Linked DNA regions of Ovis aries. The protein of the gene in region 1 interacts with the protein of each later gene in a pairwise test. Links are inferred from orthologs where the notes say so. Each region holds a gene or a part of one and is shown in the gene's direction. Other genes may lie near its edges.

Region 1 (15,047 bases):
CCTCTGCCCCACCCTGCTCGCCTTGTATTTGTGGAAGTAAGCCTGATGCTGGGTATTGTCTGAAGGAGTTAGCAGAGTTTCCGGTGTTGTTGGATGGGGGAGGGGAAGCTGGAGCCAGCCAAGGGCTGAGGGCAGATCAGGGAGAGGGACAGACAGCCGGCAGTCCCAGCGCCCAGGCATGGCTACCCCTCCTCGCCTCTTCTCTCCTACCCCACGGCAAGGTGGGCTGGGTGATGAGGGAGAAGCAGATGGAGTGTGGGAGCTGTGGGTTTGCCTTACTTGGAGCACAAGACTCCCCGGGCCCGGAAGGGAGACTGGAGTCATAGCAAGCATAGCTGAGCAGTACAGAAGGCAGGCAGGCGTGGCCGGCAGGGGCAAGGCATGGCCAGTCCCAGCTCTGCTGCTGGATCCATCAGCCTTTGCGTTGCTTAGGCCTAGCCAGGGTTCACCGGCAGACACGTGGCTCCACGTAGAACCCAGACACCCCTGAGTTAAACTCCAGCTCTGCCACTAGGACCTCTGGCAAATGATTTAAGCTCTCCAGGAGACGGGTTCCTCATCTGTGCGATGAGGATCGTTGCATTTGCTAGCATCCACTTGATGTGGCCCATTTCCTCGCTGCCCAGGGGATGTTCATTCCCCTCCCTGCCCCTAGCCCCCTTCCCAGCTGCTCCTGTGCCACCTTCTGTTCCGTGGGCGTCCTTTCTGCCATCTGTCATTCTCAGCCACCTTTGTGCTTCTTGAGCTCATCTCTGGCAGCCAGTAACCCCTTCTTCCCTCTAGTCCACCTCACAGGTCATCTCTGAGTCAGGATTATCCCCCTCCTATGGCTTAATTGTGGTCCATACCTATCCCCCCCTCACTTCATCTCCTGCTTGAAGGAAGGGGGAGGCGGGAGGAGAGGGACTGGGGTGTGGCGATGGCCAAGGAGTCTGGGGAGGGGGCGAGTCTCTGACGGTGTGGCCAGGGGGACATGGGGGTCTGCATGTGGGTGTGTCCTGTCCTGTACCACCCGGCCCTCCCGTCACCCTCTCTACCCCACCCTCCCAGCCTGCAATGTGACTATCCACAACCGCTGTAAAGACACCCTCGCCAACTGTACCAAGGTCAAGCAGAAGGTGAGATGGCAGGGAGGGCAGAGGGCTGGGGGAGAGGGTAGTGAGTGTGTGGTACCCTCGTGCCTATTCCGTTCATTCCTCACCGTGTGTTCCCCAACCCCTCTCCTCTCCACGGGGCAGCCCGACCCTCCACCCTAGGCCTCAGGCCCCGCCAGAGGGGGCCAGCCTGTTTCTCTGGACACATCCCCTTGGCACTGGGCTCAGCCACCCTGATGCCCTTAGCGATCAAGCCAGCTTTCTCCCGAGGGGGCCAGCCACCCAGCTCCTGTCCTGGGCCCACGGAGGTGACCCTTGGGTGACAGCTGTTCTTGGTGTCTCTCTTGCCCTCTGTCTCACAGCAACAGAAAGCTGCCCTGCTGAAGAACAACACTGCCTTGCAGTCCGTTTCTCTTCGCAGTAAGAGTGAGTAGTGAGGGTGCAGGAGCCGCCACAGGACCCTGGCCCACCAGGCCTCTCGGCCCATGGGCTCTGCTGCCCCCTTGAGGTCGTTCCCTGGCACGGCACCTTCCTCCCTTCATCTGGAAGCTGATGGCGGCGGCACAAGGGAGATGGAGACCCCTGGGCCTGGGGGCGGGACAGCAGAATTAAAATGAGGTTGAAGGCTTGGAATGACTGGTCATCTGAGCCTGCTCACACTTTATATTAGTATGATCAGTTATTTACATGGCCCTTGGGGATGTTGGCAGAAGTTGTTAAGGGCCAATTCAGAAAGATCTGGTGTGACAGAAAGAGCGGGGTGCTTAGTCAGGAAAACTAGAGTCTGAGTCTGTGCTCAGCCACCAGCTGAGTCACCCCAGCCAAATCTCTTCACCATCCTGAGCTGCAGTTTGCTTGTAGGCTTGTGGCCGGGAAGAGATAAGAAAAGCTCTTTGTAACCATTAAAAGTATTGCACAAGTTTATGGGTAGCATTATTATCATCTTTCTCTGACTAGAACTGGGCTAAAGGTGGGGTTGGAGAGGAGGCTTCCTTTCTAGTCCAGGAGCCTGGGAGGCTTGAGTCCCGGGAAGGCACCAGGTTTGAGGCTTGCTTGTTTGGTATCCCCTCCGACAGCTACCACTCGGGAGCGGCCCAGCTCGGCCATCTACCCCTCCGACATCCGGCAGTCCCTGCTCGGCTCCCGCCGTGGCCGCTCCTCCTTGTCTTTAGCCAAAAGCGTCTCCACCACCAATATTGCTGGGTGAGCCTCTGCTTGGGGACGGTAGAACCAGGCAGGCAGAGTGAGGCTGTGGAGACAGGCCGGGGGGAGGGGCTGAGAGGTCCTCCCCATCCCTGAGTTCAGAATGATAGACAGGTAAGGAGAACTTGGAGTGACTGCCTCTGGGATGCCGCCTTTGTTCCCCAACCTGGGAAGGGATCTCTCGCCCGAGTCAGTCGGATGATGCAGCCAGGCTCCACTCCCCTCAGACACTTCAATGATGAGTCTCCCCTGGGGCTGCGCCGGATCCTCTCACAGTCCACGGACTCCCTCAACATGCGGAACCGGACACTGTCGGTGGAGTCCCTCATCGACGAAGGTGACCGTGCCCGGACCTGGGGGAGACCCAGGCGTGAGGGGCGGGCGGGAGCTGGCCCGAGAAAGGCAGGGTGGGAAGGGATCCAGAGAAGGGCCCAGGACCCAGGGAAGAGATTTGGGGTCCGAGTCGTTTCCCCCACTCGCGTCCAGGTGCTGAAGTGATCTACAATGAGCTGATGAGTGACTTTGAGATGGATGAGAAGGATTTTGCAGCTGATTCCTGGAGCCTTGCGGTGGATAGCAGCTTCTTGCAGCAGCATAAAAAGGAGGTGATGAAGCAGCAGGATGTCATCTATGGTGAGCCGGGAAGACCACCCCGGACTTCTCTTTTGTTATTGGCCTTGTTTCTCTGTGTCCTTCCTCTGCCAGCCCCTACCTCTCAAGACACTTTCCTCTTATCCCATTGGCCTTCAAGACCCTGCCAGTGATCCCATAAGTAGCTACGAGGTCCACAGCTTTTGGAGCTGTTGACCTCCAAGGCCCTTCGTAATCCCTTCCTTCCAGTCAACTCTTAGTCTTTCCTCTCTGCCCATTGCATGCCCAGCTCTGTGCTGGGGACTGTGGGAAGTCTAGGCATGTAAGGAACACATAGTTTTTGACTTTATACCTTGAGATGGCAAGAGTGAGCCCCTCTTAGCCCCTTCCCCTGCCTGTCTCCACAGCCTCATTCTGCCTTGAGATGGCAAGGCATAAAGATAAATGATTAGAAAAATGATCTAAGATCATAACGCAGAATATTAGCCTGGAAGGGAAACTGAAAACCTCTAATAAGCCTGAGGTCTCCAGCCTTGGCCCCACCAGTTGTGGCCAAGCCGGGTGTTCCACCGTCCCCACAGAGCTGATCCAGACAGAGCTGCACCACGTGCGGACACTGAAGATCATGACCCGCCTCTTCCGCACGGGCATGCTGGAAGAGCTGCAGCTGGAGCCAGGAGTGGTCCAGGGCCTGTTCCCCTGTGTGGACGAGCTCACTGACATCCACACGCGCTTCCTCAGCCAGCTGCTGGATCGCCGGCGCCATGCCCTATGCCCTGGTAGCACCCGGAACTTCGTCATCCATCGCTTGGGGGACCTGCTCATCAGCCAGGTGAGAAAAGCCAGGAGCCCTGGGCAGCAGTCTTGGGCGGGGGTGTGACTAGAGTGGGCATTTCTCATCTCCAGACTCTGGGGGGTGGGGCAGAGAGAGTTGGAAAGGCAGGAAGCCAGCCTGTTTGGCAGGAGGCGAGAGGGCATTGGGGATGAGAGGTGACTTTGGGGGACATGCTGACCCAGCCTTGCTCCCCCAACTTCTAGTTCTCAGGTCCTAGCGCAGAGCAGATGCGGAAGACCTACTCAGAGTTCTGTAGCCGCCACACCAAGGCCTTAAAACTCTATAAGGAGCTGTATGCCCGAGACAAACGCTTCCAGCAGTTCATCCGGGTGAGCAAACCTCTCCAAGACCCACCCTCCGCCTCCTGTAGTGCCCCAGCCCTAGTGGACACAGCTGCTCGTTTTTCCAGGGGTAGAGCGAGTGCTCTCGCTCCTTGGGTCCTCACAGTAAACCTGTGACCTTGTCGGCCCCATTTTCCAGAGTCATTAACCTCCCGCCAGCCAGCATGAGGTAAATGACCAAGTGCAGGCAGGCACCAGGGCTTAGGCTCCAAGTCCAGCGTCCTTTCTGGTGCCCTCCCCGCGGGTGCCCCTCTGGCACTGAGCCCTGACCTCGCTTTGTAGAAAGTGACCCGCTCGGCGGTGCTGAAGCGGCATGGGGTACAAGAGTGCATTCTGCTAGTGACTCAGCGCATCACCAAGTACCCAGTGCTCATCAACCGCATCCTGCAGCATTCCCACGGTGAGAGGGCGAGTCCAGGCGGGAGGAGGAGGGAGAGGGCTGTCAGGGGTGAGGCGTGGCCCTGGACAACCACCGGGAGGAAGAGGGTCACATATGGAACCCTGGGCAGCCTCTGAAGGCGGCATTGAGATCAGTGGGTTGGGGACTGGCGTGAAGCTGGCTGGGCCACCCCTTCCTCACGCCGACCTCGGTGTCAGGGATGGAGGAGGAGCGCCAGGACCTGACCACGGCCCTGGGGCTGGTGAAGGAGCTGCTGTCCAACGTGGACCAGGATGTGCACGAGCTGGAGAAAGGGGCCCGCCTGCAGGAGATCTACAACCGCATGGACCCTCGGGCCCAGGCCCCGGTTCCCGGCAAGGGCCCCTTTGGCCGAGAGGAGCTCCTGCGGCGCAAGCTCATTCACGATGGCTGCCTGCTCTGGAAGACTGCGACTGGGCGCTTCAAAGGTCAGTGGACAGCTTGGCAGACCAGGCAAGAGTCCATGGCCAGAGGGAGAAGCCTCCAAGCCCATAGGACCTCTTTTAATGTAGCCCTGGTGAGACCCAGTGGGAGGAAAATATGTGAGCTCTGTTGTAACAAAAGTCAGAATTCTGGATTTAATTTCATGGGCGATACAAGGACTTCGTTGTCAGGATTTGTTCATTCCTTTGGTCCTTGCATGCCCAGAAAGCTACCGATTTTGATGAGAAAAACAGAGAAATTCCAGGATTAGAGGACTAGCCCCTGGTAATTGGTTCTACCAGCTGGAGTCCCAGCCACTAGGGCTGGGGAATGGGCAGGCACTTTGGGAACACAGCTGAGGAAGGCCCTTGGAGGGGGTGGAGCCCAGGGAAGGGCGGGCCAAGTGGAGAAGAGAAAAGACTGCAGGGAAGGTGTGTTCAGGGCGGGGCGCACTGTCCCAGCCTCTCTTCCCAGACTATACTGGGCAAGGCTTGCCTACCTAAATCAAAGCAGAAGAGTCGCAGACCTCAGCTTTAGGTGTGAGGAATGCTACCTGAGGCCAGAGCTTGCCTGCACCTCTGTCCCGTGTCGTGAAGTCCCCACTCCATAGGCTTGAGTATTGCAGGCTTTGCCAGCCACTTTCCTCCATCCCTTTCTCTCCTTCCCATCCCTCCCACGCAGCAGCTAAGAATATAAACCATGGGGGGGTTAAAAATAGCAAGGCTGAAGAGCTTTATTTCTGAAGCCTTTAGCAGAAGCCCTCCCCTTCTGTGTGCCCACAACTTAGAAAGATCTCCAAGGGCAGAGGATGCATGTGTTTTCCTGACTGTGACATCTGACTTTCATGGGTTGACCTTTGTCTCCCCCAAGTCTTAAAGCACAGGACCCCGTAGAATGTGAGGGCCTTGAAGGTGGGGCAGAAAAGGAAAATGAAAGCAGGGCCTGCTGTTGTTGAAGGAGATTGGGATTGTTCAACAGTGGGAGAAATGAATAAGGAACCTAACTGTTCCCCTCCCCATGGAGCACAAAATAAGAAGTGGGGAATATGCTGGCATGGGGGGAATCTTAGACCAAATATCCAAAAAGATCTTATGTCAGTTGTTCAACATGGAACTGAAAGGCTCTGGGAGTCGTTTTACCCTCACAAGAATTCTGGACCCTTTCACACAGAAAAACACACGTGTGATAGATTAATATGTAAAAATTGCTTATGGAACTTTAGAGGATCTACAGAGCCTCTGAAGCGTGATAGCAGACAACCTAGGTGTCGGCAGACCACAGGCTAAGGAGCATTCATTGGATAAAGAGGCTTTTATTCAAGGCCACTGGGTGATTGCTTATAGGCATCTCTAGCCCAAGAAACTGTTTTGTCTGATGACACATGTGTCCCCCCCGCCCCCCACCGTTTCTGAGCTGTAGGAATGGGGAGAGGTGGGAGGTCTGCGAAGGGGGAGGAAACAACCAGAGGGAGAGAGGTCGGGGAAAGGGAAACAGCTGCTCGCATCCTCTAACGCTGACTCTCCTCCTGCCTCCATCCCCCTGCCAGATGTGCTCATGCTGCTGATGACAGATGTGCTGGTGTTTCTCCAAGAGAAGGACCAGAAGTACATCTTTCCTGCCCTGGTGAGACCTTCCACCTTCTTTCTCAGCATAGACAAGTGTTTCAGACCCTTCTTACTTTCCTACCCTGGCCAGGAAATCCTCCAACATCAAATAGCTATTATTGTAACCACTGCCGTAATATAATCAGGAAAAATAAGAAGAGCCAATGCATATAAATATGATCAGAAGGAATAAGAAGAGCCAACGCATATTGTTACTATATGCAGCCACTTTTTTTTACACGTGTTAGGAAGGCACATGATTATCCTCTTTTTGTAGATGAGAAAAGTAAAGCTTAAAGTTAATTAAATTGTCAAAGGTCACAGACGTTTCTCTAAGTCCACTCTGGCTGGCACCAGAGTCTGAGCTCTTAACTTATATTCTCGGCTGACTCTTCAATCCTTTGGATACTCCAGGAGGACTGAAGACTCAAATATCCAGGGGTCAGGATTCCCAGCTTTAATCCTTCCTGTGCCCCAATTGGCAGGACAAGCCCTCGGTGGTGTCACTGCAGAATCTCATCGTGCGGGACATCGCTAACCAGGAGAAAGGGATGTTTCTGATCAGTGCGGCACCCCCTGAGATGTACGAGGTCCACACGGCATCCCGGGATGACCGGAGCACCTGGATCCGCGTCATTCAGCAGAGTGTGCGAGTGTGAGTGTGTGCATGGACTTGTGGTTCCTGCAGTTTGGGGCGTTGGACCACAGCACTCCCAGGGAACAGAACCCAGGGTTCAGAAGTGGAAGGAGAGGCCAGGAGAGAGACAAGATGGCCCAAGGCAGGCAAGGTCATTTATGTTCTCTTGCCCGGTAAAGTTGCATTTTATACAGTGACAACCCCAACCGCCTTCTGAATGCACCATGAGCTGACAAGCCAAAGGAATACTTTAAGTTGGCACGTGCCGGCATGCCTGCCAGTCAGCAGTACAGTTTCACCTCCATTAACATCTTAGTCTGTAGGCAGTGGGCCATTATTTGGACTGTATTGTCTTTCACCTTCATTTTCTAAAAATGAATGAAAAAGAGAATAATGAAAAAAAAAAGAAAAAAAGGATAATGAAAGCATTGATACTAGTGATCAGAGGGGCAAGACTGAAACAAACTCCATACGATAGAGGCTACAAAGAAATCATTTTGTGTGCTAAAGCAGCAAATCTCTGGCTTCTGTTGGACACACATCAGATCTGAGTATGTGTCTGTTGTGATCAAAGAAAGTAAAGGGGCTTCCTTGGTGGCTCAGACGAAGAGCTGCCTTCAATGCAGACAAAAAGTCAAGTGCATGTAAAATGTCGAAAATGGATTCTCAGGCTTCCCTGGCAGCTCAGTGATCAAGAATCCTCCCGCCAGTGCAGGAGACACAGGTTCAATCCCTGATCCGGGAAGATCCCACATGCCTCGCAGCAGCTGACCCCATACCCCACAACTACTGAGCCTGTGCTCTAGAGCCTGGGAACTGCAGCTGCTGAGCCCACGGGCTGCAGCTACTGAAGCCTGAGCGCCCTAGGGCCCATCCTCCACAGCAGCAAGAGCCACCACGGTGAGGAGCCTGTACACCGTGACTAGCAAATAGCACCCACTTGCCGCACCTAGAGAAAAAGCCTGTGCAGCCGCTAAGACCCAGCACAGCCAAAAATAAATAAATAAAACTTTAAAAAAGAAAAGAAAGTACATTCTCAAGGATAATGCCTGAAAAATAAACTCAATTAGGATGTTTATGATTTTTTTGTTTATACTTTTCAGGGAATGGATTCTTCTCTACTTTATAATATATAAAACTATATATATTTTCTCACTTCTGCAATTTAGACTTTTGAACAAATTTTTCAGAAATTTGTGCAAAAATATGAAATTACCTGTTCTGGGAAAACAAGACCAAAGTTCCTATCCCATTGACAGTCGATCTATAGCGGCCTCTTTATTAATAATGTAAATATTTGTAGTCGTGAAACCATTATTCATGATAATTGTTTTATTGAGCTTATGCCACGTTCAAAGCACTCGTATATTATTTCATTTAATCCTCATACAAAAAAAACAAACTGTGAGGAAGATATCATCCCTGTTTCTCATATGAAGAAATAGAGAGGTTACCGCCTGGTAAACTGCAGAGCCAGAATCTGAGCCCAGTGTGCTTGACACCAAAACCTGCAGTTGTCCTTCCGCACTACGCTGCCTCTCTGGGTGACTTGCGGAGAGGCACTGGCAAGTAGATGCAGATCGTCAGTGCCAGGAAAAGGATGAAGCCAGGGCGCGGAGCTGACAAGACTTATCGGGGAAGTATAGAGCATGTTTGGGAAGGAGGGAAGGCAGATTCCTGGTGTGTAACCTAGCTTCCTTCCCCGAACCCCACCCAACCTGTGATCCCTCCAGATGCCCATCCAGGGAGGACTTCCCCCTGATTGAGACAGAGGATGAGGCTTACCTCCGGCGTATCAAGAGTAAGTCCAGGGGAGTTTGGGGGAGAATGGATGCATGCATATGTATGGCTGAGTCCCTTAGCTGTCTATCTGAAACTATCACAGAACTGTTAATCGGCTAAATTCCAATACCAAATAAAAAGTTTAATAAAAAAAATTACATGACGTTTTCAAAAAACAAAAAGAAAACAGTAAGTCTACCCACAGAGCTTGTTTAAATAATTTATCAGTATGATATATGCACACAGGGGAATACTATCTTAAAATGAGGTAGCTGTATGAGGGCTGATGTAGACCCACAACCAAAACATTTAGTTAAGTGAGAAGAGCAAGGTTTAAAACACTGTGAAGTATATGCTGTCACCAGCATTGGGGATAGATATGTGCCATGCATTTTGTGTATATGTGTGGAGTGTCTCTAGGAGGATATTATTACTGTGGTTTCTCTGGGAAGGGAAACTAGGAATAACAGGATTAAGATACTGACTTTTTTTTTTTACCATAGATCTGTATGTTAATTGGGGGTGTGATCTAACTGCTATACAAAAAAATCAACAAAAACCATTTGGTCACATGAGGTAGATTATTTCTCTCCACTTAACAGTCCAGAAGCGAGAAGTGCAGGGTGGTAGCGCAGCTGTGCCCTCTTTGTCATGAAGGTTCCCCGTCTCTGTGGCTGCATCACTCCTCCAGCTTCCGCTCTCACATCTGCATCCCAGCTAGCAAGGAGGGTTCGAGGACGAGGAGAGTTTATACTCGTTTCTTTTAAGGCCAGATCAGGAAGACATTCCCATCCACTGGTCAGAATTTAGTCCTGTGGCAATGCCTAACTGCAAGGCAGGTTGGGAAATGGCGTGTAACTGGGCAGCCACACGCCCAGAGGAAACTTGTACTCCTTCTGTAATCAAAACACGGGGAGATGAAAGCTGGTGGACAGCCTGCAGGCCCTGCTACACGCTTTCGTTTTGAAGACAACACTGCATGTGTTACTCATTCCCCCCCCCAAAAAAGTTCTCTTCTTTTGCATAAATGCCAAAAAAAAACCCAAAATGCAGTCCTCCCTCCCTGCCCATACCTGGCTCCTCATCCCTGGGGCTGCCCCTCCACTCCCAGTGGCTCTTCCGGGTGCTCACCTGTCTCTCATCCACAGTGGAGCTGCAGCAGAAAGACCGGGCCCTGGTGGAGCTGCTGCAGGAGAAGGTTGGGCTATTTGCCGAGATGACCCACTTCCAGGTGGAAGAGGATGGCGGCAGCGGGGTGCCCCTGCCCACCCTGCCCAGGGGCCTCTTCCGCTCTGAGTCCCTTGAGTCCCCTCGTGGCGAGCGGCTACTGCAGGACGCCATCCGTGAGGGTGAGGGAGCTTCTGGGGAAGAATCTGGACTCACCTCTTCGCCATCACACAATAGGGACACGTGGCTAGACAAGGGGAATGTCCATCCCATAGTCCGGAACTCCCCCAAGTGCCTGTTGGGTGCTGGATGCCAGGAATGGCGGGGGAAGATGGCCCTTGCTACTGTTTGCCACCTCTCATCCTGCACACCCCTGGGCACTTTAATGATCTTTTCCTCGTATGTGGTGTTGGCACTGAGACCCCATTACCTGTGCAGGGGGCATTTCCCTAGATGCCTGCATGTCCTGTGAACTGAGTGAACAGCAGCCCCTCCCACCCCCTGCAGAATTCCATCCCTTCTGTCCTCACCTCTTCTTTCCACACAGTGGAGGGCCTGAAAGACCTGCTGGTGGGGCCTGGAGTGGAGCTGCTCTTGACACCCCGGGAACCGTCCTTGCCCGTGGAGCCAGATAGCGGTGGTAACACAAGTCCTGGAGTCACTGCCAGTGAGTGCCCGGGTAGGGGACCACGGCAGGTGGGAGGAGTTAAAGAGAATGAGGTGGTACCAAGGTCTGAGTGGTGTCAGGGTGCTGGGGCAGCGAGGCCGGTGCGTCATCTTCCCCTTCTCAACAGATGGTGAGGCCAGAACCTTCAATGGATCTATTGAGCTCTGCAGAGCTGACTCAGACTCCAGCCAGAAGGTGGGTTTCAGGAGGTGTCAGGACTTAGCTAGAGGGTGGGAAATGGACTGCTGGCCTATAGACCCTTGACACAGAGCTATCAGGGACAGGCACCAGGGACTCGTGTGTCTGCTGATGCCCCATCCTTACCCGTTTCTGCAGGATCGAAATGGAAATCAGCTGAGATCTCCCCAGGAGGTGAGATGGGCTTGCAATGGTATGGGAGACTGAAAGAGGGGTTACTCTCAGCTGAGAAACTGGAGCCCAGTTTGGAGTTGGGGGTGCTGTATATACCTCAGAATACCTGCAGTCTTATTGTCCCCACACCCACACTTATTCAACTTCTGGTCAGTTCTCCCATCCTGAAGCTTGGACTCTGTTCCCCCCACCTCCTCTGTCCTCAGGAAGCGTTGCAGCGATTGATCAATCTCTATGGACTCCTGCATGGCCTACAGGTCAGTGAGGGTAGGGGCTCCAATGAGAATGGGAGGGACTGGGCCAGAGCTGTCCACTTAGCTAGAGCAGAACCATCCTAACAGGCCTGTCTAAACCTTCCTCTGATTCAAGCTCTATGGGACTCAAAATCTGGGCCCTGGGGAGTGAGGGATAGAAGAAATGGGATTCTGATACATCCCTTCATCTCCATTCTACCCGCAGGCGGCTGTGGCCCAGCAGGACACTTTGATGGAAGCCCGGTTCCCTGAGGGCCCCGAGCGGCGGGAAAAGCTGACCAGAGCCAATTCCCGGGATGGGGAGGCTGGCAGAGCCGGGGGCGTCCCTGTGGCTCCTGAAAAGCAGGCTACGGAACTAGCGTTGCTGCAGCGGCAACACGCGCTATTGCAGGAGGAGCTGCGGCGCTGCCGACGGCTCGGCGAGGAGCGTGCGACTGAGGCCGGCAGCTTGGAAGCCCGGCTCCGGGAGAGCGAGCAGGCCCGCGCCCTGCTGGAGCGGGAGGCCGAGGAGGCTCGCAGGCAGCTGGCCGCCTTGGGCCACACGGAACCCCCACTCGTGGCTGAGGCCCCCTGGGCCCGCCGGCCTCTGGATCCGCGGCGTCGGAGCCTCCCTGCTGGTGATGCCCTGTACTTGAGTTTCACACCCCCACAGGTAAGGACGCTTGAAGTAGTGAACTAACCTGGGGTGGACATCAGGGTCCAGGAGAGAATCTGAGGAACTGGAGGCCAAATGAAATCAGGCATTAAACTTGAAGGATATTAGGATACTGGCGGGAGGGCTGAACAATTTCGATGGGTGCAGAAAGAAATCAGTCAGTGGTAGATGTACTGAGAGTCAAGTCTTCACACTGCTCATTCCTGGACCTCTTGCTTTTTCCGCCTGCTGTCCATAGCCCAGCAGAGGCCACGACCGCCTGGATTTGCCTGTGACTATTCGCTCCGTCCATCGACCCTTTGAGGATCGAGAGAGGCAGGAGCTGGGCAGCCCCGACGAGCGGCTGCAAGATAGCAGTGACCCCGACACCGGCAGCGAGGAGGAGGGAGGCAGCCGTCTGTCTCCACCCCATAGTCCAAGAGGTGAGGTCCTGGCAGAGACACGGCGTAGAAACAGGGTGTAACCTGGGTACAGACCTTTGGGCTGTAGTTTCCAAGTGGAGCCTGCATTGGAAAGCACAGGAATGTTTAACCAACCACTGAGCTCCACAGTCACTCTTGGGACGGGCCTAGAGTGCTTCCTGGTTTGCCTCCTGGTAAACAGGTAGTGGATCTCTCAGAAGCAGAAAATGTAGGGGCCTCTGCTCCAGTAGGTCCATGATTCCAAACCTTTTCAAGCAGAAATAGATTTTCAGAGTGAAAAAATGTCAAAGACCTCCAAGTTCTTATAGCTGGCTCAGGAAATACAAAATAACCCGAAGCTACTGTGACTTCATATAATACTCATCTTAAAATATTTTGTATCTTATTAACCGTATTGTATCTCCATGTATTTAACAAGCTACCTAGGTATGGATCCATTATTTTGTGGACAGTTTTCCCATCACCCGGGGATTACAGACCTCTGCCATCCCTCCCTGGAGAATCCCAGGGATGGCGGAGCCTGGTGGGCTGCTGTCTATGGGGTCACACAGAGTCAGACACGACTAAAGTGACTTAGCAGCAGCAGCAGCAGCAGCAGCAGCCATCCCTCGCAGCTCTCTGAGCTGCTCAGCCCACAGACAGGGAGGCATCCGTGTAGGGGTTCGGCTGATCACAGGAGCCTCTGTTCACTCACTGACTTTGCCCCTTCCTCCTCCAGATTTCACCCGAATGCAGGACATCCCGGAAGAGACTGAGAGCCGAGATGGGGAGCCTTTAGCTTCCGAGAGCTAAGGGGGCCCCTCCCCCCGCCCGGTGTCCCCTGAAGAACATTACTGAGGGAGGCAAACCTTGGGGACTCCAATCTGCCAATGACAAGGGAACATTTGAAAGAACTGCTTACTGTCCTTGCCATCTCTTGGTATCCTTGGATACCTGGGGGCCATTTAGGAAGCGGGGGGAATTAAGCCACAGTGCCCCCTGCTGGCATCCAGAAGCTACACTGCAGATGCCAATTTTTCATGCCTTCTTCCGTCTACTTTAGGAAAATTTATTTATTTATTGTTTATTAGTTACAGAGGGAGAGGGGAGATTTAGAGGACCAGGGACATGGGAACCAAGCCATAGGGAACAGGGGGCCTTGTCCTTTAACACTACTGGGGTTTATTCAGGCTTAACCATGCAGCTGCTGGGTTCTAGCCCTGACACCCCTCCTGAGCAACACCCATCTTTGAGGAGAGGCTGCAGCCGTAAGCCCCTACTGCTCCTTCAGGAAGGGCTGTGGTCAGGGCCATGTCCCTCTCCCCTTCCCCTCCACCTCTTACTGCTGTTCCCCCTTCTCTCTGTCTTCTGTGGAAACCCCAGGAACTTAACCTGGCTTCCTAGAGTTGATGGAATGGAGGTTGAGGTGGCCATAATGGTTTGTTGGGGGATGAGGAGGAAAACTCACAGGGACCAGAATGGTTTTTTGTTGTTGTTGTTTTCTTTTTTTTGTACCAAAGCCAACTGCACGTGTTTTATATTTTTAAGAGAAGATTGTAGGCAATTAGAAATTGCAGCCTTCTATCTCTAAATCTCTGAAGAACTTGAGGGATGGGGGGAGCGTTGACTTCTCCACTCATCCATAGTAATGGGGGCCCCATTCTGACCTCTTCCCCAGTCATTTGGACAAACAGTTCTAGGGTGAGTTGGGAAATCTCTCCAAGCCCTGACCTCACCCCCACCTCAGCAACCATGACCTGAAACCTCAGTGTGAATTTGGGGGATTTTTCAGTGGATCCCCCCTTGCTCAGTGGCCACCAGCCCCGGCCAGTTTTCTGCCAATTTGATTATTTTAAAAAAAGGAAAAAAATAGAAAGTCGGGGGTGGGGGGATAAAGCAGGGAAAATTAAAGTCCTGGAACCCCAGGAAGTGCTGTCTGTTAATATCCACGAGTTCTGAGGATGCTGGTGATGAGGACAGCCAGGGAGGGCCCTGTGTTCATCTGAAAGGAGCCTCTTCCTCTCCCAGGAGGGGCGACTGCCTCCCTGAAGACACAGGGCACTAACAGAAGAAACTGGTGCCAACCTGTTTTTGTTGTCGTCTGTGATACTCACAAATACAAGGATAAAAATGAAGGGGCACTTAGGTTCCAGTGGCTGTTGGGGGGATTCCAATATTAAAAAACCTGTTTCCATCTCACTGGCATGCCGTGCTCAGAATTACATCAGCCTCTTGCCCCCTTCCCTCCCTTTCTGCACAGCTGCAGTTCCCCTTCACATCTCCCCTCAGATTCAGCCCTCACTCTGCCCTTGTTCTTCGCAGTGTCAGAATCCTGGGGTAACCTCTTTAAGACAGTTCCCCTCTCCCCTCATGGGAGCTGCTCATTTGCTCTTTGCATTTGGAGAGGCAGTGAGAGATTAGGTAGGTTTCGGTTCTTATTTTTGGTTAATTTTTTGCTTCCTGTTTCTGGTTAATAGCCTGCTCTGGGGCTGTGGGGGAGGGAGGCTAAGAGCGGCCAGTGTTGTCTAAATGCTGGCAGAGCACATAGACTTCTGTTGGAGCCCATGGAGCAAGATGAGAAGAATGGGGCTTGCAACCTCAGC
Region 2 (15,494 bases), on another chromosome or scaffold:
CACCGAAGAATTGATGCTTTTGAACTGTGGAGTTGGAGAAGACTCTTGAGAGTCCCTTGGACTGTAAGGAGATCCAATCAGTCCATCCTAAAGGAGATCAGTCCTGGGTGTTCATTGGAAGGACTGATGTTGAAGCTGAAACTCCAATACTTTGGCCATCTGATGCGAAGAGCTGACTCATTGGAAAAGACCCTGATGCTGGGAAAGATTGAGGGCAGGAGGAGAAGGAGATGACAGAGGATGAGATAGTTGGATGGTGTCACCAACTCAATGGACATGGGTTTGTGTGGACTCTGGGAGTTAGTGATGGACAGGGAGGCCTGGAGTGCTGCAGTTCATGGGGTCGCAAAGAGTTGGACACGACTGAGCGACTGAACTGATTTACCTCCTCATATATTTGATCCTTGAATATCAGCATTCCTTATCCTCTAACCTAAAACCTGTGTGAGATCATTCACTTTCATAGTCTCTCCCGCTATTCAACCCTTTAATACTGGAATTCCTCACCCTCTACCCTTAAAGCCTAGATCAATTTAGCCAAGAGGAAGGGATCAGCGAATATATAGTATGTGCTGCTGCTGCTAAGTCACTTCAGTCGTGTCTGACTCTGCGACCCCATAGACGGCAGCCCACCAGGCTCCCCCGTCCCTGGGATTCTCCAGGCAAGAGCACTGGAGCAGGTTGCCATTTCCTTCTCCAATGCATGAAAGTGAAAAGTGAAAGGGAAGTCGCCCAGTTGTGTCCGACTCTTCGCAACCCCATGAACTGCAGCCTACCAGGCTCCTCTGTCCATGGGATTTTCAAGGCAAGAGTACTGGAGTGGGGTGCCATCGCCTTCTCCAGAGTGACTAACACTACTTCATACTAGAAGAGGGCATGCAGACTGGCATATAGGCCTGCATTTACTATATTAAGTGACCTATGATGGGGTTGGGAAACACTGGGTGGGGGCTGTAAAAGACGTGGTAGAGACGTGTAGCCCAGAGGAAGAGAGGCTATAAAATGAGTGGATTAATTAACTGTGGCATATCTGTAGAAAGAAATATTATTCACCCATAAAAAGAAATGAAGTACTGATACCCTGCTACAAGGTGGGTGAATCTTGAAAGCATTATACTAAGTGAAAGAAGCCAGACACAAAAAACCACATATTGTATCATTCCATTCATATGAATGTCCAGAAAAGGCAAATCCACAGAGACAGAAAATAGATTAATGTTTACTATGGGCTAGGATGAGGGGGAATGGGCAGTGATGGTTAATGACTATGGTGCATCTTTTGGAGTGATAAAAATGGATGGTATTAAATAATGGTTGAAGTGAAGTCACTCAGTCGTGTCCGACTCATAGTGACCCCATGAACTGCAGGCTCTTCCGTCCATGGGATTTTCCAGGCAAGAGTACTGGAGTGGGATGCCATTGCCTTCTCCGATCGTATGTGCTAGTGCCCCATAAACCCTAAAGTAGTTTATTACTTCCCCAATCACACATGAAACTCCCTGAGGAGTACATGATTAGCTACCACTTCATACTGAGGATTCCCAGAAAGTTGAGTTGGATCTCTTAATACAAGAGAAGGGGGTGATTGTAGGGACAAGGAAGTTTGGAGTCTGAGGAAATGAAGATTCTTTATCTCTTCCAAGCCTTGGGCCAAGTGGTAAATCTTGGAATTAACTTCCACTCCCCTTACAGGTGGCTGATGGCCTGGTCAAGGTGCAGGTGGCTTTGGGGAACATCGCCAGCAAGAGGGAGAGGGTGAAGGTTCTGTACAAAAAAAGTAAGTGTTTCCATGCCTGCCTGCCTGCCCTCCTCAAGCCTATGCTTCCTGGTTCCCTGCCCAGGCCCTTAAGCCCAATAGGTCACTGGAGTTTCCCTTTGGGGATAGCAGGTGAAGACGTTTTCCTGATGAAATGGTGAATTGGGGTATGCTTTCTACTTTGTGGTTAAACCCCAAGCCCATGGCAATGTCCTAAGTTATGAGATAAGAGCTTTGCCTGAAAGTCCACTGGGGAAGGAGAGAGGAGTATGGAATTTCCATAGGCAAGGTTCAGGGGCAGGAAAGAAAGCAGGCACCTTGAGAGCCCCAGCCTTGGCTCAGCCAGGCCTTTTTGATTATGTCAGAGCTAGCAACCTGTTCAGTAACTAGAAATCAGATAAAGTTCTGGCATGTCTTGGTGGCATAGAGGGGCAAGGTAACTTCTACCCTTGAAGATAGATCAGTGAAAATGCTGAGGGCCCCAGGGTATTGGAGGCAATTGTGTTCCCAGCTGTAAAATTTGACTCTGGCCAGCAAGATGGTTAGATAGCATCACTGACTCAATGGACATGAATCTAAGCAAACTCCCAGAGATAGTGAGGGACAGGGAAGCCTGGCATGTTGCAGTTCACAGGGTCCAAAGAGTCGGACATGACTTAGTGACTGAATAGCAGGTGATCAGAGGGAAGAGACAGGGAAGTGGGGATGGGGGCCTGGTGGACCCTTTGGGTATCAGTTCCTCACTCAAGGCTCTCCCCAAGGCTGACCCTTGCCCTGATATCCTTCCTTCACAAGACTGATCCCCACTCCTCAACCTTATTCCATTTTCCATCTTGTTGCTTTTCTAGTTGAAGACTTGATCAAATACCTGGATCCTGAGTACATTGACCGCATTGCCTTACCTGATGCCTCCAAGCTGCAGTTCATCTTGGCAGGTAGTGCTGGATAGGATGTGCACATGCATCTGGGGGACGCTGGGCACAGAGATGGCCTCCCTCTCAGTCCTCTCCTGGATGCAGCCTGGGAAGCTGCTCTCTGGAATCTGGACTGAGGCTGGAGGTGGACTTGTGGTCCTCTTGTAGACACTGGGTACAGTAGACCCTGGAGCCAGCTGCAGACCAGAGTGTCAGCCACTGTGGAAGCGACTCCGGTGTTCTATCTATGGCATGCCTCTAGGATTTTCCTTCAGAATCTTCCTTACTTCTGCTCGGTAGACATAGAGCTTCTAGGAAAGGGTGGGGGCAGAGAGCATTGCCGTGGGAGAGATGAGGATATAAGCATGGGTTTCAGCATCTTGCAGGTGGGAAAGTGCTGGGATTTCAGAGTTCTAGGCAGTAACTGTTGTCTTAGCAATGTTTGCTTATCAGTTAGCTACTCCACTAGGTATGATTTGCCATCACCTGTGTTTGTTCATGCATTCAAGTGCTCATCTGCTGAGATCCGGACATCCTAGGTGTGAGGTATTATACAGCGGTGAGCCAGAACATCCCTGAACCACTGCTGTGGCTCAGACACCAAGTTCAGGAGGTCTTCTTCTGCACCGATTCTTGAGTCTAGCCTCTCTACCCCTCCGTGTGGCACTATCTTGGTGTTCATCCCCTGGCACTTGAACAGTTTCCTAAGTCCTCTTCTTTTTTATTTATTTATTTTCTTTCTTTTTTTTTTTCCTTTGCTTATTCCTAAGTCCTCTTCTTGACCCTAGTTTCCCACTTCTTGCATGTGGCTCACTATCATCTTCCCAAAACACATTTCCAGCATGCCACAGTGTTTACTTTGGAACCTCAGCGTGTCTATATCTTCCTCTTCCTCCTAGGATGAATTCCTAATTCCTTAGCCTACCATTCAAAGCTCCGTATAGACTGCCAGATCTCTCCTCCCATCTAGCTGTTTGCTGTGCTCTCCTTGCTCCAGTTCAGCCAATTGAATTCTTTTTCCTCTACTGATTGACATGCATTCTTGCCATCAGATGATTGACATAACAGTCCTCCCTTGAATCCCCTTCCCACTCTGCAGTCATTAAAACCCCCTATGCACAGGGCCATCCCAGTCCTGCTGAGCTTGTCACTGGACTCTCCTGTTACTGTCCCAGTTCTCCAGGAGCTTGTAATCGTGCCTCTCTGATCCACTCAGCACTACCTGCCAGGTATCTTCCACAAGTCCCCTCTTTCAGACTTTCCCAGGACCCCTTGGGTACTTCAGGTCTGAAGTACTTTGTCTCCTGTGGCCTAGGAGGGGCTCTCTGAATTTGTGGATAGGAGGCTAGGGGGAGAGGCCTCAGAGTTAAAACTTGGAGAAAGGTTAGATTTGGAGGCACTTAGAGATAGGGCTCAAGATAGGTCAGACCAGTGGCATCCAGGAGAGGTGGAGGCAGACTGGGGGAGTGTGCACAGAAAGAAGGGGGCAGTGGGCAGAGTGACTGCCCCTGGCTCCAGGACTCAGTCCTCTCCCTGGCCTGGTCCCCAGCTCCTCACCCAGGAGTGGCTGTGCCTGGGCCCGCCTCACTGCTACTTTCTGTCTGTTCATGCCGCAGAGGAGCAGTTCATTCTCTCGCAGGTTGCACTTCTGGAGCAGGTGGAGGCTCTGGTGCCCATGCTGGACAGCACTCACATCAAAGGTACCTTCTGGGGTTGTATCTCCTCTGCTCTACGTGGGGAGGTAGGATGGGCAGGACTTCCCTGGGATCAGACTGGCTCTGCTCCTTGTCTTTACCCTCACCTGAGGGGTACTGGCCACCTGCACTGGGATTAAAATTGCCAGGGCATAGAGCTCAGCTTCAGAACTCAAGGCAGTTTGGCCCTAAGGACACTCAGGTAAGCCCAGTGGCCTCCCGCTTTAGGATTTCTTCTGTTTTCTACCCCGCCCCTCAGCATCTGTCCTTCAGGGTGTTGCAGAGGCCAGGTTTTACTGTAAGAGTCCCTGCAGGGGGTGGGTGTGTGAACGTGTGTGAATTCTTCCGGCTGCACTGCCCTGGGCCGGGATTTTGACAAGCAGTGACTTTAATTGAATCCAGATATCCATCTTGTCTGTCTCTGGAGGTATTTATCCCAGCTCCCCCTCCCTACCCCTGATCAGTTTCCTGCTGAGCATCTGACAGCGTTAAGCTGTGGGCCCTGCATGGTGGCTGAGGCTCTGGGTGTTGGGTTCCAGGTGACCAGCTTAGGGACCTTGCATTTGTCCTCAGCCCACCTGCAGGCTCCCTGTTCCCTGGGCCACGGAGCTCTGGTCCCGCTGGGCTGAGAGCAAAGGAACAGATCCTGTAATAATCAAAGCTTTCTTTACCTGCCCTGCTCACAACACTGGGGTGGGTATATGGGGCACTTCTGGAAACCCCAAGGTTTTGTCTTCTAGGGGCCTGTATTTCCCCTCCCCTTTGGGTCCTGGAGTAGGACTGGGGTGGGCAGGGAGCCCCACCACCACCACCTCCAGCTGCAGTGGTCGATGAAGCTGGCGTTTGTTTAGCTTCTCCACTCAATACTCTAATCCTGCCGAAGACCTAATAGACTATTGAGCAGTCCCGGGGGAAGGCACAAGCATCACTGGGCAGTGTGTGTTGCGTTTTACAGCCGTTCCTGAGCATGCCGCCCGCCTGCAGCGGTTGGCCCAGATCCACATCCAGCAGCAGGTATGGAGGGGAGAGACCAGGTAGGAAAGTAGAGGTGGCGAGGCTCCTTTTCCCCACCCCTGTCTCCTGGGGAAGTAGCCTCAGGAGCTGATGTCAGCTTCAGGGGAAAGTTAGGGTTTCTCCTTTGTCTTGCATGCACCTTCCAGAGGGAAAGAGACTTGCCTAGGGTAAAATCTAGGCCTCCTGCCTCCAGATTAGGGCTGTCCTGAGACACCAGAGGATTGATGTTGGGAGGTGCCCAAGAATTCCTATGTATCCTTGACCATAGGTAGAGGAGCTGTTTTTTCACTATTGCCAGGCTCTAGTGTGAAGTTCAGAGAGGGTTCAGATATAGGGTACAGGGGAGAAGGAGGGATATACCGGTAGGAATAGGTCGTTAAATGTCTGGTTCGCTCCCTCTTCCATCAGCCTCAGGACTGCAGTTAGGCTACCTACCCATAGCAGAGCCTGAAAGTGCCTTTTTAGAAATTTGCTCCTTTTAGCTCTGAGGTTAAACATTACCTTTTCTGAGGAGCAAGGGTCCCTGATGAGGCAGGCAATGGGGAGTGTGGGCTCTGTGTAACGCCTTTCTCTGCCCCACCTTGGCCCCACAGGACCAGTGTGTGGAGATCACTGAGGAGTCCAAGGCGCTCCTGGAGGAATACAACAAGACTGTATCCTTTCCGCTCAGCTGGGCCCCTGAGGAGTGCTGTATGGAGCCTGGCCTTTTATTCCATTCCTAGTTCTGTCTCTCAACCCATCCCAACCAGTCTGTCTGTTTCCCAGCTCCCCCTACCTTTAGGCAGAGGCAAACATCTTTCTTCTCCCTCTCTCAGATTCTCATTCTCACCTTGACTTGTGACCAGACAATGCTTCTCTCCAAGCAGTTTGTGCAGTGGGATGAACTTCTCTGCCAGCTAGAAGCTGCCAAGCAAGTGAAGCCTGTGGAAGAGTGAATGGCGCTTCCCATCCTAAGGTGGGCTGGGGCAGCCAGGCTCCAGGACCTGTGCCAGCCTGCCCTTGTAACAGAGCAGAAAAGAGGTGGCTCTGTATTTATTGGATTCAAGACCTACCTGGCTGCACTCAGGTGGGGCTCTGAGGTCAGAGGTCTGGTTACTTGAGATTTGCTCTTTGCACCTCCTCCCCTCATCAGTATCCTGTTCCAGTGACAATAAAACTGTAGAGGTCACTGCAGGAGTGTGTTGGCTTCCTGGTCTTGGATGGGTATGGTGGTGGGGATGAGGGTGGTGGAGGCCAGAGTTGTCCATCTTCCTAGGAGTTGGACCACCAGCTATACTTATCCTAGTCTAGCTTTCTGGGAGATATAGAGCTCTCAGGATGAATGCTCTCATTTGCTTGATGTGAGTGGAACATTTGGTTTTATATCTATTTATCCCACATTTACCAAGTACACTCTAAATGTCAGATGCCATACCAGGTGGGGAGGTCACAGGTAGGGTCCACCTGATCCCTGCCCTGAACAGGATAGCAGGGGAAACAGTCATGGAAAAGGGGAGGGAACCATGTGGCACAAGGGTTCTTTGGGGGCACAGAAGAAAAGGATGTGGCAGGTAGCTCTGGAGAGTGATATGCAGGGTCTTTGAGAACCAAGGGAGCAGCATGTGCAAAGGAGAGGGGAGCCTCTATGTTGCTCTCCTGATGCTATAAGAGAAGGGGAGCCTAAAAGAGGATGCAGAGGGCTTTTGGGCTGGGGCGGGGCGGGGCGGTGCTGTGGCTGGAAAGGAGGGAGAGTTGGCATATTAGCAAAGAAACCGATGGCACCTCACTCCACCAAGTGTTTGCTGTCCCCTTGTGGTCTCCGGGACTGCTGCGGCTCCAGGCCCCTTTACGTCGACCTGCCCGCCACCGTACCGGCGCGGTCTCATTGGCATCTCAAATCCAACAAGTCTGAAACTGAGCCATCCTAGGCTCTTCCCTCCATCCGAAGAGTCGCCAAACCCACCTCGTAGTATCTTCCAACTTAATTTCCTTTTCCCCATTCCCAGTGTTGTTTCTCTGGCTCATTCTTTCAACAAATGCTTTATCAAATATTCGAGCACGTATAGGCAGGGCAACTTACGAAGCACCGCGGACATGCCCCTGGGACGTGCGGCCAGGAGTCACCAGAGGGAGGCCCGAGAGCTGCCCACACGAACAAGTCTGACTTGCGCCTTGATGAAAGCCCCCTGTGGGTCGCCAGTGCCCACAGGGTGAGGCTGAAGTTCAGAACTCGGTGATCTAGGCTCTCGCCCCCGCAGCGGCCACATCACCCGGCACCTCTAGCTCCGGTCCAAAGAGAAACCCGCCACTCTGCCTCTGCTACTGCGGTGTGCTCAGCGGGTAACGCCTGCCCTGAATCTTCTAAGGGCCAAATCCTCCGCATCCTTCCGACGCGGACTTCGGACGCGGGACTCCTCTGCTGGCCGCTCCTCTCCCCCGCAGCGCTCTCTCCGCTCGCAAAGGAATGCTCCTTGCCTGGGGCAGAACAGCAAAGACACCCTGCGTGCAGCGAATCCTCGCGTCCGGGGCCAGCTCACTCCCTGGCGTCCGGAACCTCTCGGTTTGCGAACCCGGCCCCTCAGGCCCCGCCCCGTCCGGCGTGCGCGGCCCCGCGACCTCGGCGCGCTTTCGGCCCGCGCCATCTTGGCTTCAGATCGAGCGTAGGGAGTGCGCGGCCGCGGCGGTGAGAGCCGGAGCCCTGCGGGGCAGGGGCGCCTAGAGGTGCGAGGAGGAGAGGGAAGGCCGGGTGCTGGGCCTCTGCGGTGGCCCGTGGCGGTGGGCACCACGGAGCCCGGCCTCTCGTGGCCCCGACGCCAGGGGTGGCCCGAGCAGTCGTTGGCGTCAAGCCTCTGCTTCCCAGTGTCTGAGGGACCCTCGGTTGAGGGGATCGACCCTGGAATCTCTGGATGAGAGAGGGGTGCCCGACCCTGTCCTCGGGGTCCAGGAGTTGGGGAGAGGATCGTTTCTGTCTTTGAGGAGCTTTTGGATGAAGGCTCATGGCTCCGTTTGGTGGAGCATGGGGTGTGGGGGGCGGGGAGGGGGGAGCTTGGCCCTGACCTCTGGGAGCACGAAGTGAGGCGCCTTTGCCCTGGCGCCCCGTGGAGAGCCCAGGGTGAGGAGCACTCAGCCTTGTGCTTAGGGAGTCTCGGGTGAGGGCCTGGATCCAGTCCCCAGGAGCCCCAGATGAGAAAGGTTCATTCCCAGTGCCAGGGAGCTAGAGATGGAGAGGCTTGGCCGGTGTTCAGGGTCGGTGGAGGGTTATGGCCCTGTCCAGAGGACTGGGGTACATGCCCCCCTAGGGGGAGGCAGGCATGACTCCTTGTCCTGGGGATGAGGGGTTTAAAGTCCCATTTCTGGGAAATCTGGGCGGAGCAGCACCCTCGGGTGGGGGTCGCCTGGGACACAGTGCCCACCATCCTTTGACTTCCCTGCAGCAGGGCAGCAAGGCGGACACGACAGCAGGCTGGATGGAGCACTACCGGAAAGCTGGCTCTGTGGAACTCCCCGCACCTTCCCCGATGCCCCAGCTGCCTCCTGATACCCTGGAGATGCGGGTCCGAGCTGGCAGCAAGATCCGCAACCTCTTGGGCTTGGCGCTGGAGCGGCTGGAGGGCGGCAGCGCTCGCCACGTGGTATTCTCAGGCTCTGGCCGCGCTGCAGGCAAGGCTGTCAGCTGTGCTGAGATTGTCAAACGGCGGGTACCAGGCTTGTACCAGCTTACCAAGCTGCGCTTCCTGCAGACCGAGGACAGCTGGGTGCCTACCTCACCTGACACGGGCCTGGATCCCCTCACGGTCCGCAGCCATGTGCCTGCAGTGTGGGTGCTGCTGAGTCGAGACCCCCTGGACCCCAATGAGTATGGCTACCAGCCCCCTGGGGCACCCCCTGACCTCGGGCCCACACCTGCCTCCAGCTGTGGCCCTCAGCCTAGAAGAAGGGCTCGAGATACCCGGTTCTGAGGACCTGTGGGCAAGCTGTTGTCTAGACTGTCTAGGATGGCTGTACCTTTGAGAAGCCTCTAACTGCTCAAGGTCTCCAACAAAACTTGAGTTTAGGAAAGTGGGCCTCCCTGTCCTGCTTCCCCTTCCCTCTGGCTCCTGGAAAGGGACTCTCGTGAAGAGTGACAGGTGTGGAGTCTCTGCCGGGTTCTAGATTGCTTAAGAAGCAACATCCTAAGTCAATGTGTAGGTCAACTTGCCACAGCATAAATAAAATAAAATATTATGTAGAGAAAGAAGAAGGGTTACTCTGCCTTTTACATACAGTGCCTCTCATCTGTCTTCTGACAGAGATCCAAGGAGTGAGTTAGGAAATAAAGGCTCTGTCTGTCTGATGAACCTCTGCTTGGCCTGCTGTGTGGAAGTAGGGTTAAGGGAGTGGGAGTCCCTGCCCTTGACCGCCAGGAGCTCCCAGTCTGGAGACAGGAAAAGTAGGTTCAGATGGGTGCTGGGAGGATCTGGACTGAAGATGCAGCCTCAAGCAGTAACCTGACTGTCTAGATCCCTGGGTAGCTATCTGCTTCCTGTTTGGGGCTGGTTGAAGGACTCTGCATTTTTCTCCACCTGCAGCATAGAGACATACCTCATTTTGTTGCACGCAGATACTACATTTCTTACAGAAGAAGTGAAGTTCTGTGGCAGACCTGCACTGAACAAGTCTGGCAACACCATTTTTCCAACAGTGTTCATTTCGTGTCTCTGTCACATTTTGGTAATTCTCAAAATATCTCAAACTTTAATTATTATATTTGTTATAGTGATCTATGATGTTACTACTGTAACTTAGTGAAAACTCAAATGATGGTTAGCATTTTTTAGCAATAAAATATTTTAAAATTAAGGTATATATGTAGATTGTTTTTTAGCTATAATTCTGTCACATTCATAATAGACTACAATATAGGGCTTCCCTGGTGGCTAGAGGTTGAAACCTCTGCCTCCAATGTGGGAAACCCGCGTTCAATCCCTGGGTCGGGAAGATCCCCTAGAGAAGGAAATGGTAACCCACTCCAGTATTCTTGCCTGGAGAATCCCATGGACAGAGAAGCCTGGTAGGCTACAGTCCACGGGGTCGCAAAGAGTCAGACACGACTGAGCGACTTCACTTCACTTCTTAGAGTAAACATAACTTTTTTAAGCACTGGGGAACCAATAAACTTCTGTGACTTGCACTATAGAGATCTTCCTTTTATTGAGGTGGTCTGGGACTGCACCCAAATGTCTCTGTGAAGTATGCCTATATTACAATATAGTGGTTGAGATCATGGCCTTGGTCACCAAGCTGTCTGGATTTGAATCCTGGGTCTGCCACTTATTAGGTAGTTACTGCTCTGCGCTTTAGTGTTCTCATCATCCATAGAACAAGATGTAGTGCTTGCCTTGAAGGATTGTTATGAGGATTAAATGTAGAAATATACATATGATTCTTAGATATCACCTGAGCCTGTATACCCTCAGCTCTCCATATCTGTGGATGTAGAACGCGTGGATACAAACAGCTGATTGTACTCCACCTTTTTATTTAAGGGACTTGAGTATTTTGGTGAAAAAAGAAATTCACAGGGGCTCCTAGAGACAGTTCCCTGAGGATACTGAGGGATGACTGTAAATGTTCATTGCCCTCATGAAGGAGTCAGCTTACAAACATGCCTTTTCCTTAAAAACATAAGCTCAATTCTACCTTCCCCCTTCAGTTCTCACCCTTTTTACCCCTAGCAGTTCCTCTTCTGTCTCACCTTGGCTGTAGGTTCAGGTTCACCATGGACAGGTCAGGAGCATAAGGAAAGGTGAAGACTGCAGTGGTAGCCAGGAGGCTACAGGAACCAGAGCAGGATCGTGGGCAGTAGTGGACTCAGTGAAGAGTTGAGCAAATTGGATCTTCCACTGGACTTTATGTTCTCCATTGTGTCCACAGCTTGGGTGTCCAATCACTAGGAAAGCACAAAGTGCGGACTCTTCTGGGACCATGTAGCAGGGTGGGCACAGCAGTTGGAGGGTGTTGAAGTGATGTCTGGCTGAGAATCCAGGCAGGTGGGGTTGAAATATTGGGAGAGATGGAGTTGGGGGACCGGAGGCCTCAATAAGAGCTTAGAACAGGCATGAGGGGACCACAGGACCAGCAGGCTGTGGTCAAAACTTGGAATGCTGCATCTTTTTCTTGCCCGGAGTGGAGGGGTTGGAGATTCAGGGCATGCTAGGTAAGAGAGAAAAACCCTCTGCTGCTTCCCAGCTGGGCCTCTCAACTGCAGAAGGTCATGAAGCATCTAATACCGTCCTAGTGGCTGTGGTCCTGACTCTGTCTGGCTACCAGCAACTGCCTGACTTACTCTCTGTGTCTAATTCATGTTTTTTGCTCCTGCTCAGCTTCTGCATATTGCCATTTCTCTGAATATCTTTACTTGCGTGTCCTTTACCATCAACAGCCCCCTGTGTATCATTGGTCCCCAGAGATTTGGGACCAGGCTTCTTGCAGACTATTGAACTTTGGTTCAGCATCCCATCTCGATCCAGTGTGTGGCGGCCAGGGTGGAAAGAGCATGTGAACTAAGCGTGGTGACTGTGTTGAGGGAGTGATTCAGTTAGGCAGCATCACAGGCTTTGGGACTCCCCACTGGGCAGCTCCTCATTAAGGCACCACCTGGGGTCTTGATGATGGCAGGGGGAATGTGGAGGGAAACTGAGGTGCAGTCAAAATCCCTTGAGAAGAATAGGATCTGCCACTACTCAGAGAATCAGGAGAAAGGACACAGGCCGGGAGAGCAAAGGCTAGTGAATCTGGGGCCTTTTCCCTCCTTGGCCACTTTGGGGGCCCAAGTGAGTCCTACCAGAGGAATGTCAGGGAGGGAGCCAGAGTGAGGCATTCAGAATCAGAAAGCCTGACCAAGCTTAGGAGGGAGGGAGCATAAGTACTATGTACATTTGCGAATTTAATTGCTGCTCACTTTCTCCTTCAGTCACTCAGTCGTGTCTGACTCTTTGCGACCCCATGAATTGCAGCATGCCAGGCCTCCCTGTCCATCACCAGCTCCAAGTGTCTTCCTCCATAATCTCTTAGAAAAGGTAATACCTTGGCACAAAAGGTAGGGAAATGGAGATAGCTTTTTCAACAAACTATTGTGATAGGAGGAGAGAGATGATTCTGGGATACAGAGAGTTTTGTTTATTTTTAATAAATTAGCAGAGACTAGTTTATAGGCTGATGGGGGAAGCCAGTAGGGAAAGGCATGGAGATGCAGGAGATTGTGGCTAACTCAGAATGACACTCCTGGGGGCGATGAAAGGGAGTGGGTCTTAGAGCGGGGAGGCACGGGCCTCACAAAGGGCAGAGGAGAGATGTCTGCCTGTAGCAGGAGGGACAGAGTTGAGGATGGCTATGCATGCAGGTGGGTATAGAGGTAAAGGTGAGACACGGAATTCAGAGTTCAGAGGCTTCTAATCTCAAAGCAGAAGTCCAGCTTTGCTGCTGAGAGTGGAGTAAGGAGGCTGGTAGAGAGTTGTTTCAGCTGGGGAAGACAGCTAGTGAGGTATAGGAGGATGACCAGGCAGAGCTAGAAGCCCAGATGAGGTTGGTGATCATGAACTTACAATATCATCAGTCAGAGTGCACTCCAGCAGCACCCACAGGTCAAGTAAGACTCAGGGGAAGCAGGAATAGTGAGACTGGCAAGAGAGTGTATGTGAAGAAGGTCCAAGGAATCCAACCTAGGTCGGGAAAGAAGTGAAGCTAGAAAGGGGCAGGGGTCAGTGGCCTAGAGGTCCTTATAAAAATGGGGTGGAGTGAGGTAGAGTACGTGAGAGAAGTGGGACAGAGTATTGTATGCTTCCCTGGTGGCTCAGAGGGTAAAGCATCTGCCTGCAATGCAGGAGACCCAGGCTCGATACCTGGGTCAGGAAGATCCCTGGAGAAGGAAATGGCAACCCCCTCCAGTATTCTTTCCTGGAGAATTCCCATGGACGGAGGAGCCTGGTAGACTACAGACCACAGGGTTGAAAAGAGTTGGACACAACTGAGCGACTTCACTTTTACTTTCAGTTTCATCATAGTGGTACCAGTTTCTAGGGCACCCATAACAAAGGACCACCAACTGGGTGGCTTAGAACAACAGAACTGTTCTGTCTCACAGTTTTGGAGACTAGAAGCCCCAAATCAAGGTGTCAGAGCCATTTCCCTCTGAAACCTGCCTGGGAATCCTTCCTTAATGCTTCCTAGCTTCCGGTGTGCCAGCAGTCTTTGGTCTTGGCTTTTGGCTGCTTTACTCCAGTCATTCGTCTTCACATCCGTCTTCCTTTGTATCTGTTTCTGTCTCCAAATTTCTCCGTTTCATAAGGACACCAGTCATATTTGACTAGGGCTCATCCCAATGGCCTCATTTTAACTTACCTCTGTAAAGATTCAAATAAGGTCACATTGCGAGGTACTAAGGGTTAGGACTCCAACATATTTATGGAGGGATGCAATTCAACACTTCATAGTAGCCAAAGGATGAAATGAAATCAGTGAGTTTGAGAGTTTTAGGAACTGGCAGGACTTGATAGTGGGCATGAAAGTAGATACCTGGTGGTCCAGAGGGAAAGTTACGGAAGGTGAGGTTGAGGAATTTAAGAGGCTGGGGAGGGCAATCATGGGTATGTTGAGGAGGCAGGAGCATCCAGGATAGAATGTGCTGAGCATTCTCACTACCTGCCTTAGAGATGGCATGCACAGTGAGTACCCTTGAAGTGGGGACTTCAGAACAATATGACTGCAGGAGCTATACACCTCCCAAATGCAAGCAGGCGCCAAGTCCTGGCAATTTTGCTTGCTAGGTTTCTCCATTCCCACAGACTCTGGTGATTCGTGCCCATCGTTGTCTTACAACAGTCTCCTTGTTGGTCTCCCTGCTTCACTCCCCTCTGAGTTCTCCAACAGTCAGGGAACTGGCTGTTCCCATTGTTTGGAATGCCCTGCCAGATACCTGCATGGGTATCTCCCTGCCTCTTTAAGGCTTTGCTCAAATGTCACCTCAGTGAGGCCTGTTTTGATCACTCCATTTAAAACTGCAGTCAAGCACCTCTGATTTTCCTTACTCTGCCTTTTTTCTTCTTACTTCCGCGGCACAGTCCGTCTTTGACTCGGTCCCCTTCGACCTGGGGCTCTGGCCACACTAACTCCCTACTCTTCCCACTTGTCATGAGATTTTTCTGCTTCTGAGCCTTTGATGTTGCCATTCTTTCTGCTTAGAGCTCATCAAGATTTTTCAAAGACACCAGTAGCACTCCCTGTTCAGAGCCTAGCTCCTCACTCCCCACCATTTGCCTGGAACTCCAGGATCAGCCCCGGTTTGACAGCCCCAACCAGTCCATTCTAAAGGAGATCAGTCCTGGGTGTACTTTGGAAGGAATGATGCTAAAGCTGAAACTCCAGTACTTTGGCCACCTCATGCGAAGAGTTGAATCATTGGAAAAGACCCTGATGCTGGGAGAGATTGGGGGCAGGAGGAGAAGGGGACGATAGAGGATGAGATGGCTGGATGGCATCACTGACTCGATGGACGTAGTTTGAGTGAACTCCGGGAGTTGGTGATGGACAGGGAGGCCTGTCGTGCTGTGATTCATGGCGTCGCAAAGAGTCGGACACGACTGAGCAACTGAACTGAACTGAACCACTCCCGGGTAATGTCTGGCTGCACTTTTGAGTTTGTCCACAAGATGGCATCATTTGCGAAGGAATAGCGCATTCCTTCCCTTTGCAGGATCTGTGCAGTTAGGACACAGAGAGGGTAGTCAAGGCTTGAAATTTGGCCTTCCATAGGCTTAGTGACCTCTCAAGGCTTCCCAGGCAGCACTAGTGGTAAAGAATCCGCTTGCCAATGCAGAAGACATAAGAAACTTGGGTTTGATCCCTGGGTCAGGAAGATCTCCTGGAGGAGAGCATGGCAACCCACTCCAGTATTCTTGCCTGGAGAATCCCCACGGACATCCCCAGAAGAGTCTGGCAGGCTACAGTCCATAGGGTCTCAAAGAGTCAGACACGACTGAAGTGACCTAGCACAGGCTTAGTGACTTTTCAGTTATTCAACAAATAGCTAATTATCACCCATAATGTGACCAATATAGTCACTGGGCTTGGGAGCTCCAGCCCCATGAGGGCTATAAGTCA

Evidence for each region.
Region 2: the proteins of ARHGEF2 (region 1) and RPP25L interact in binary tests that used the Homo sapiens proteins (3 or more experiments, as listed by UniProt). The two-hybrid records come from large-scale screens. The link is inferred for Ovis aries from reciprocal best matches to the Homo sapiens genes ARHGEF2 and RPP25L.

The regions. Positions count from the first base shown.
Region 1 is NC_056054.1:105,982,566-105,997,612, reverse strand, and holds the end of ARHGEF2 (rho guanine nucleotide exchange factor 2), read left to right. Parts: intron 1-1,050; coding exon 1,051-1,118; intron 1,119-1,456; coding exon 1,457-1,520; intron 1,521-2,170; coding exon 2,171-2,297; intron 2,298-2,407; coding exon of another isoform or gene 2,408-2,524; coding exon 2,525-2,634; intron 2,635-2,783; coding exon 2,784-2,930; intron 2,931-3,469; coding exon 3,470-3,720; intron 3,721-3,926; coding exon 3,927-4,052; intron 4,053-4,346; coding exon 4,347-4,464; intron 4,465-4,661; coding exon 4,662-4,910; intron 4,911-6,451; coding exon 6,452-6,528; intron 6,529-6,994; coding exon 6,995-7,164; intron 7,165-8,879; coding exon 8,880-8,947; intron 8,948-10,076; coding exon 10,077-10,277; intron 10,278-10,642; coding exon 10,643-10,762; intron 10,763-10,889; coding exon 10,890-10,957; intron 10,958-11,098; coding exon 11,099-11,134; intron 11,135-11,340; coding exon 11,341-11,391; intron 11,392-11,593; coding exon 11,594-12,040; intron 12,041-12,281; coding exon 12,282-12,465; intron 12,466-13,183; and 3 more. UniProt on the Homo sapiens protein: Activates Rho-GTPases by promoting the exchange of GDP for GTP.
Region 2 is NC_056055.1:36,947,321-36,962,814, forward strand, and holds RPP25L (ribonuclease P protein subunit p25-like protein), read left to right. Parts: upstream 1-7,997; 5' UTR 7,998-8,040; exon of another isoform or gene 8,041-8,078; intron 8,079-8,791; exon of another isoform or gene 8,792-8,794; 5' UTR 8,795-8,824; coding exon 8,825-9,316; 3' UTR 9,317-10,196; downstream 10,197-15,494. UniProt on the Homo sapiens protein: May be a component of ribonuclease P or MRP.